Styela clava: one gene and its partner. The protein of the gene in region 2 purifies or fractionates together with the protein of the main gene of each other region. This does not show direct contact. Links are inferred from orthologs where the notes say so. Each region holds a gene or a part of one and is shown on either strand. Other genes may lie near its edges. The genes, in order: tRNA (adenine(58)-N(1))-methyltransferase catalytic subunit TRMT61A-like and tRNA (adenine(58)-N(1))-methyltransferase non-catalytic subunit TRM6-like.

What was found.
Region 1: the proteins of tRNA (adenine(58)-N(1))-methyltransferase non-catalytic subunit TRM6-like (region 2) and tRNA (adenine(58)-N(1))-methyltransferase catalytic subunit TRMT61A-like purify together in Homo sapiens (affinity purification with mass spectrometry; 4 studies listed by BioGRID and IntAct, counting the BioPlex papers as one, with this or other methods). This does not show direct contact. The link is inferred for Styela clava from reciprocal best matches to the Homo sapiens genes TRMT6 and TRMT61A.

What each region holds. Positions count from the first base shown.
Region 1 is NC_135255.1:18,094,405-18,098,336, forward strand, and holds the start of tRNA (adenine(58)-N(1))-methyltransferase catalytic subunit TRMT61A-like, read right to left. Parts: upstream 2,702-3,932; 5' UTR 2,667-2,701; coding exon 2,484-2,666; intron 1,203-2,483; coding exon 1,061-1,202; intron 1-1,060. UniProt on the Homo sapiens protein: Catalytic subunit of tRNA (adenine-N(1)-)-methyltransferase, which catalyzes the formation of N(1)-methyladenine at position 58 (m1A58) in initiator methionyl-tRNA.
Region 2 is NC_135258.1:11,834,479-11,838,410, forward strand, and holds the start of tRNA (adenine(58)-N(1))-methyltransferase non-catalytic subunit TRM6-like, read left to right. Parts: upstream 1-1,155; 5' UTR 1,156-1,596; coding exon 1,597-1,750; intron 1,751-2,259; coding exon 2,260-2,374; intron 2,375-2,659; coding exon 2,660-2,863; intron 2,864-2,933; coding exon 2,934-3,121; intron 3,122-3,625; coding exon 3,626-3,932. Other genes in the region: uncharacterized protein KIAA2013 homolog, read right to left, coding at 1-40, 535-761. UniProt on the Homo sapiens protein: Substrate-binding subunit of tRNA (adenine-N(1)-)-methyltransferase, which catalyzes the formation of N(1)-methyladenine at position 58 (m1A58) in initiator methionyl-tRNA.

The DNA of each region.
Region 1 (3,932 bases), on a different chromosome or scaffold from region 2:
TGCCTTACTGCATTAGTTACGAGTATTAGACGGTAGTCCGATTAAGTTTGGCTATACTTAGTGACCTGATGTAATTATGTTGCATGTTCTTGTGTTTAGGTTAAGATGCGTTTTTAGTTTCTTAAAGCCATAATTTTGGTTATAATAAATAAACTGTCATAACAAGGCCAAAAATTTTGCCCAGTCTGGCAGGTAACAGTAAGGTAAAAGTCACATTTTATGAACAATTTTCACAGTGTTACAAAAGCAAAAGTGGAAAGCAAAAAGCTTTGACCAACATTAATCGCAATATCAACAAATTCCTTGAGCTATTTTTCAGCTAAAACATCAAAATTTTGTTTTAGTTTGGTTGTGGCAGCATCAGGCGGGCCAGATTGAATTACCCAACGACCGGATTTGGCCTACGGGCTGTGATTTGTCAATGTCAGGTCTATAGGGTGACACAAGTTCTTGGTTATAAGCATAATCATTTTATTTAATTAAAAAATTGAGCCATCCATTGATTAACGAGACATTTGACACTGTTTGTCATTGGGCTTGATCCTCTGCATGCAAGAAAATGTTTCCAATAGAGCTTTTTCATATTAGCTCGGCGATGTGGCACATCGTGCTAAGCGTTAAGGAATACGCTCGTCACCGCATCTCTGATTACCCTTCGTGGGATTGCAGGTTCGAATTCCATGCGGGGATGATCATGTGCGAGAGGATTGCTGGACTCCTCGCCGCTGTAGGGTGGTTCACGTAACCGCTGGTCGGTTACGGCTTCCTCCACCATCAAGTCCATGCTTCCGAAAACAAATAACTGGCTAACTAATCCCATACCTGACCTGGAAACCAGACGAGAGGCTGGGGTTCGCCATATCATTAAGTCGTCTTATCGGCTTTTCTCTCCCCCGGGATAAATATGTAAACCATATCCCCTGTAATAGTCATGGCTCCACAACATTCTGACATCATCAGACGTGCCCATAGCAATGAATAGGTTGGAAACCACTGCTCTAAATCGTTACGGCTATCGTGCCTATAAAAGAACAAATGTATAAAAATTATGTGGGCTCACCTGATTCACAAACTACTGATCCAGGCTTCAAATCCAACTGCATAGTAACCATAGCAATATCAGTGGCATACAATATCTGAGTGCGATGTGGCAAACTAACCGTCCACAGCTCAGGTGTAGGATGGAGAATGTAGACCCAACCCTAGAAAAAAGATCAATGTTATAGTGTTTCTTCACACTGATTTCGGGATTCCTGAAGTACGTGAACCAAGATGGCAGACGCCGGTACGCAGTATGTGTATCAGGTTAGAGTTAGGCCATAATTTTATTCCAATTTTAGTCCTGCTATGAGTTCGGGGACTAGCCAAGTGACTCCTATAGTATTTGTACCTAAAATTCTGGCCTAACCTTAACCTGATACACATACTACGTTTCGGTGTCCGCCAGCTTGGTTCACATGCTTCAGGAGTACTCTGATGTCTACCCCCTCAAGCCAAAATATCTCTTCAGCCATCTAGTGAAATAATTAGGGTATGTTTAAAAAATGGAGAATGTATACCCAACCCTGGAAAAGATTAGGATTGTATTTTTTTAACACTTACACATCAGAATATTCTAGAAGAAAATTGCCACTACTTGGAAATTTACTGAAATGTAGCTAGTAGGCCAGCCCTGGTAGGCTTTTTTCACACTGGTGTCTACCCTCCTTAAACAAAAAACTCTAGTCAGCCAACTAGTGGAATAAATATGGTATATTTGAAAAATGGAGAATGTATACTCCGGAAAAACATTGCACCAGGAGATTCTAAAAAAAAATTGCCAGGTGTGATAGTATGAATAAGTTTTATATGTAACATAGGATAGATGAAAGCCAATGAGATGGCTTGATTATTTGGCAGTGCTCAATATCTAGTCAACGACCGATGTTATTCAGATGCATGTATTCAATCAGCCCTAAAAAGGAAGCACCCTAGCACAACAAGAAGTTCAGCTTTGAAATATTTTACACACAACTATACCATACAGCAGGGCTACTCAACTGGCAGGCCGCGGTCCAAATCCGGACCTTTCGACCATTTAATTTGGACCGCCTCTGCTTATATATTTTGGCAATATAAGCAACGTTTATAAAGTTTTAGATGACTTTGATACGATTTAAATACGCAGCTACCGATGTGCAACATTTGTGAGCCATTCATTGCTCTTGTATTTAATTTAATATTGCATTTGAAGTCTCGTTTATTCAATGAAATAAATTTTCTGTAATGTCCGGACCCCAGTAATTTTGAAGTTTTTTAAACGGACCTTTGGTGAAAATAGTTGAGTAGCCCTGCCATACAGGATTCAAACCAACAAACTTTTGCACAAGAGCAATGGCAAAGATATTCCTAGAACTTGACACCATTGACATTGCTGAAACATAAAAACCCACCGAACCTTATATTTCTACAATGACGTGGATTAAAAAAAATATTCAATCTACCTTAGAACATTGATATTTTGCACCAAATTCATGTCCAACCAGCCAGTCATGTTTTATTGCTCCGTACTTCGTTTGAGTCGTTTTGCCTCTGTTTACAGTCACAGGAAACATAGAATCAAAGCCAGTATAGACAATAGCTGTGTCTCCTTCTTCCACATGACTTTTATATTTATTGAAACTCATTTTTTATTTAGAAACTGTAAATTAGGATCAGTGTTAGAACCTTAATACACATACTTTATTTACCTTCAGACAGATTATTTTTTTTTATTTCATTCAACCATGGTTCAGTACTACATATCAGTGGGGGTTACACAAGGCGGAAACTACACATACTTGCGCTTTTTCACTTCGCATACATACAGGGTGGCCCAAAAGTAGGTGAACAGTTATTGAACTATTTTATATGCTTTGAAGCTACCTGCAAATCACTTTATGTTACTTGTAAAGTACCACAAAAATTGCTCATTTTTTTAAAAATAAATCTAGTGTGAATTTTACATTAGTTTTCTAGCTGCTTGGAAGGTAATAAAAAATAAATAAAATAACTGTATACCTACTTTTGGGCCACCCTGTATAATGGAAGGATGCCAGCACAAGAATGAAAATGACTACACATCAGGAATCAAATCATTAAAGCAATTTTTCTAGTCCCTTTTATATTGGTCATTACTGTACAAGCACTCATGGAGATTTTGAATTCTACCACTGAGTGGGATATATAAACAAAAGCCACAACTTTAGATGGCCCAGACTTAGCATGTGGTGAACCAACTGCTTAAAAGGGCACAATGGTTAGTGCTTGAAGCCTTTCACCCAACTATATTGACATCACAGACTTAAGATCTTGGGTTCTAATCCCGAGCTTACTACCTTAAGAACAGTGTTGTACATTGAATTAGAATTTTCAGACCAGCCCATCTAGAGTTCAAGTACATAACAAGGGGTTCTCAACCTTTACTCTAGCATTGCCCACCTGGGAGGTTTCTTACCACCTTGTATTTGTAAATATACGATCTTTTCTTGGCAGCATCTCCACAATGAGAGTGTAATAACAATCCCAACTATTTAGAAATTTACCCCCTGACCTAAATCATTAAGTGCTGTATGTATGTTCGAATGAAATATTCTTGCTCTTTGATCTGCAAGCTTCAATATCATGTAAAGGTAAGAAGCTTACGAAGAGAGCTTGAAGATAGCAGAATCACTGCAGAGCACAAAATCTTGAGATTTTTTTACATAATGTCCCTGTTGAGTTATTCCACGAGTAAATAAGTGGACCAATGTTTGATAGTCTTTCTCTGTTTCAGATTTGTTTTAAACTGAATAGCAATCAGTACAATTTGAAATTTGTTTTTCTGCAACCAAAATGAAACAGTCCAGATGACAGAATGAATAGTGAAAGACACAGGTTAAAATTTATGTGTTTAGTATTCGAACACAAAAGAA
Region 2 (3,932 bases):
ATCAAGTTCACCGATTGCTATATCATGTTGCTTTAGATGCCTAAAGTTGAAAATGAAATGTCGGTAATAGTGATACCAAAACTCGAATTTAACGGCAGATTGTGCTTGATAGTGTTTTTGAGAGAATCCGCTTAAATCAGAGCCTCATGCATTAAAAGAGTGAAGGTGACACGCATTTGATTATTTAAAAAAATGAAATTGAAATTTTAATTGGGTGACAATCATTAAGTTAACCATTTTAAAATACGAATCAGTTAAAAGAAAATTTGTATTTATATATAATTGCTTTTTTTTAATAATTTGATACATATATCAAACTTCAAAATGAGGGATTATTCCCGCCCGCAACAAAAAGTACAGCTGTTCATATTGATCCCAGTCCATATAAGAACCTATGGCTGTTTTTGTCATATATTATTGAAATTTGTTTATATATTATTGAAATAGGTGATCAGCTGATCACATCAATAAGTATTAATGAAATATTCATAATAATAATAATAATATGAGATCACTTTAACAATTCATACGCACATTGCAAGACAAGAATCCACATTCGATTGAGAGGTGAACAACGATAAGACATTTCTGTAGAAGAACGGACCCAAGTAAATGAAAAAAATACAAGCTGTAATCCCAAATGCAATAGTTCTTCGAGTCACCGGCAAAGATCGCAATGAAAAACTCAACGTCATCTGTGAAATATTCTGCTGAGCCATTGGAATTTGCAATTTTGCAGCACTAGGACGAATCTTAAGCATGTGACAACAAGTCCTACTATAACCCTAAAATCTTCAAAAATAGGTTTAAAATTTATATCTTATTTTGTTGTTCTGAGTCAGTTCAACAGACAGCCTTGTCAAAAACGTAGAATGCAATAGAGCAATGAGACTATTTACAGATTTACAAAATTATATTTGCAGCAGATCTACATGAGATATAAAATGGTTGACACATAGCTGAAAAATGACGAGCTTCTGAATGATTAGTTTTTTCTAAAGGTTCTACAAATCGGACAAATTGGATTATTCAATACGCAAATAACAAATAAAATAACACTGGATAAAGACATAATATGTCCATATTATATTATGTACAAAGTAGACAAACACAATCTGAACACTAGCCTGTTACACTCCACTGGCCAATTCGAAGCTTTTATTCAAGCATAGCACCTGTTCCGAAATGACATAAAACAGACTGCACTTTCTTTTCCTTCCCATAAACAAATTTCAAAACTCAACATTAAAAATTGCTGTTGTAATCCAAAACTAAAAACTTATCCTTTTTGACAATCGTAGAACTAACGCACAACTAAAGTCTTGTGTTGATTATTATATTATGGGAGTATGGAAGGCGCTGCAAATCACTTATATTTGTCTTGACTCTGGGTATTCAGCAGCACAGCCATATCATAAGTCAGTAAGTCGCGTCACATCATAAGATCACAACATTGCAACGTTTACCAGGCGAGTTCCCGTCCATTACGTCACAGCTAGATATCATCGAAACGATTCAAAGCACATGTTGCACATCACATTGTAATAAGTGCGCTTTCCTGCTGCGCTGCTATTTTGTCTGTCTATAGTTTTAGATATGGATGTTATCGCTGAAAATGTTTCTGTGGTTTTACAAAGAGGAAAAGTGTTGAAAGCGATTAAACTAGAACGCGGCAAAAAGATTGTATTTGAAAAGCTGCATTTCAAACCAGATAACGCCATCGGACAATCATACAATTCGTGGTTTCAAGGTAAATCTTTGGATTCTATTAACACGCAGTGCTTTGTTTTTCTGGTCGGACGTGGCTTATAGTTGAATTATATCAGAATTACATGAATTAACAGTATCTGCATGATTTATTATTGTATTAGAGGGGTCAGACAGACATTTTTGTATGTCAATATGTTTTATTAAACATTTTCCCCTTCCCCATATTTTATTCTTAGCCTCCCTAAAAGGCACATGCCGTAAATCGAATAAAGATTTCAAAATAATAAACAACTATTTATGTTATCTTGCATATGGCATCTTTCTTATAATAATTATCACCACTGGCAGTGAACTATAGGGTTTTGCATAATGTTATCTGATATTATTCTAGAATCAATTCATAAAATAACAGTATAGCTATTTGTCTTGTTGGCGTAAACTTTTTTAATTCATATTATTTTATTGATCCTATAGTGGAAGATCCTTAGTGGCAACAGTGCTAAAGTATTCCATACCGAAAAATCATTATTGAGAGATGATATATTTTAGTATCTTCAAATCAACTTGAGAAGGTTGAAGATGTTATAACTCGCGGCAAACCAGAACAAGCTGCTTCAGGAGACAATGGTTCTGCGGAAAAGCCAAACTCAGCACAAGATAACAGGTCAATTTATTTTTTTTATTTACTCAATTTTTAATTTGAGAACGATGAAACCCATTTTATTGGTAAAAATTTAGAAACAAGAATACCATGCCATAATAATTTTATGGAAATTTGAACTTATCATGACATCGACCTAGTTTTGTGACTCACCAAAAGGCTCTTATGTCTTTGTAGGTTTGCTTATGATTAATCCTTAGTAATTTCTGAACCGGCTAGGATGAATCTTTGTCTATGGGGAATAATTAGGTACTCATCACCAGACATCATGTTTTATTAAATGAACAGATTGCTAGAAGACACTCACGGAAAGTCTCAGTCACTCAAACGAGAAGAGATTGTTGGCATGAAATCAAGTGGAGCAAAGGGAGAAGAAATAATAGAGGAAATTGTTAAAAACAGTGCGACTTTCTCCAGCAAGACAATTTATTCACAGAAAAAGTACTTACAAAAGAAGAAATTAAAACATTCAACAAACATTAGGATATTGAAGTGAGATTATTTACTATTTAAATTAACCGGATAATTAGGTTTAACAACCATTCGTAACTTATCATTTTAGGCCATCAGCACGACTTATCTGCAAAATGTATGAAAGCAGGGAACCAGCTAAAATTTGTCACATGAGGATTGACACTGTATCGCAAATCATTAATTTGGCAAATATACACTCAGGCTCAAAAGCTATCGTAATCGAAACATGTTCCGGTCTAATTCTGAGTCTCGTCATGCAACGCTTAGCAGGAAAAGGTAATCTTATTGCATGATTGCAGATTCTGGCAAAGCAATGATAATGTTAAAAGGTATTGATATTATTGGAGTTTCACACTCCTTCCAACACTTGTCTATCTGCATCATTGTGATTGTGAGATTTTGAGCAGGCACCATAGCTAGCAAAGTATGATTATAGTAGCTATGATTATCCCAAATGGCTAACGCCAGCTATCTGTCTTACGTCGGGAAGGAATTTGGGATTGGATTCTAAATGACATAACTTGAGTCTTTTCAGCGAAAGGGGCTAAACTGAAATCCGACTCATCTTTCTGCCAGAGACACTTGACTCCGACACCCACTCAAATTTATTCTTTTTACTGTTGTATAAAAAATCTATTATAACTCAAAAGAGCGGCACCTCGACTTAACATTCAGATGGCCCGCAATTGGACCTTAGAGGACTCGAGACTTGGGGTTTGAAGACTTGTACACAACACTGGACTTCAATGACTATCTTTTAACCATATAATACTTTTACAGGTTGTGTGGTGAATCTACATACTGGTGAAACTCCGACAAATTTTCATGCTATAACACACATGAACTATGACGACTCATATTGGGCAACATTGAATTCGCTCCCTTTGAATAAAGTTGGCCCATTGCTGGCAGGAAAAGATTTCAAAGATGTTATTGGAGATATAGATCAACTTGAAAAGGAGAAGACTGCAAGTTATAGCATCAAAGAAACAGAAAAAGATGGTAAAATGTCATCATCCATTGAAGGTAGCAAAACTTCTGATGAAGATCCTAACAAAATGAATGGTTCCGAAGATACAGTTGTGAT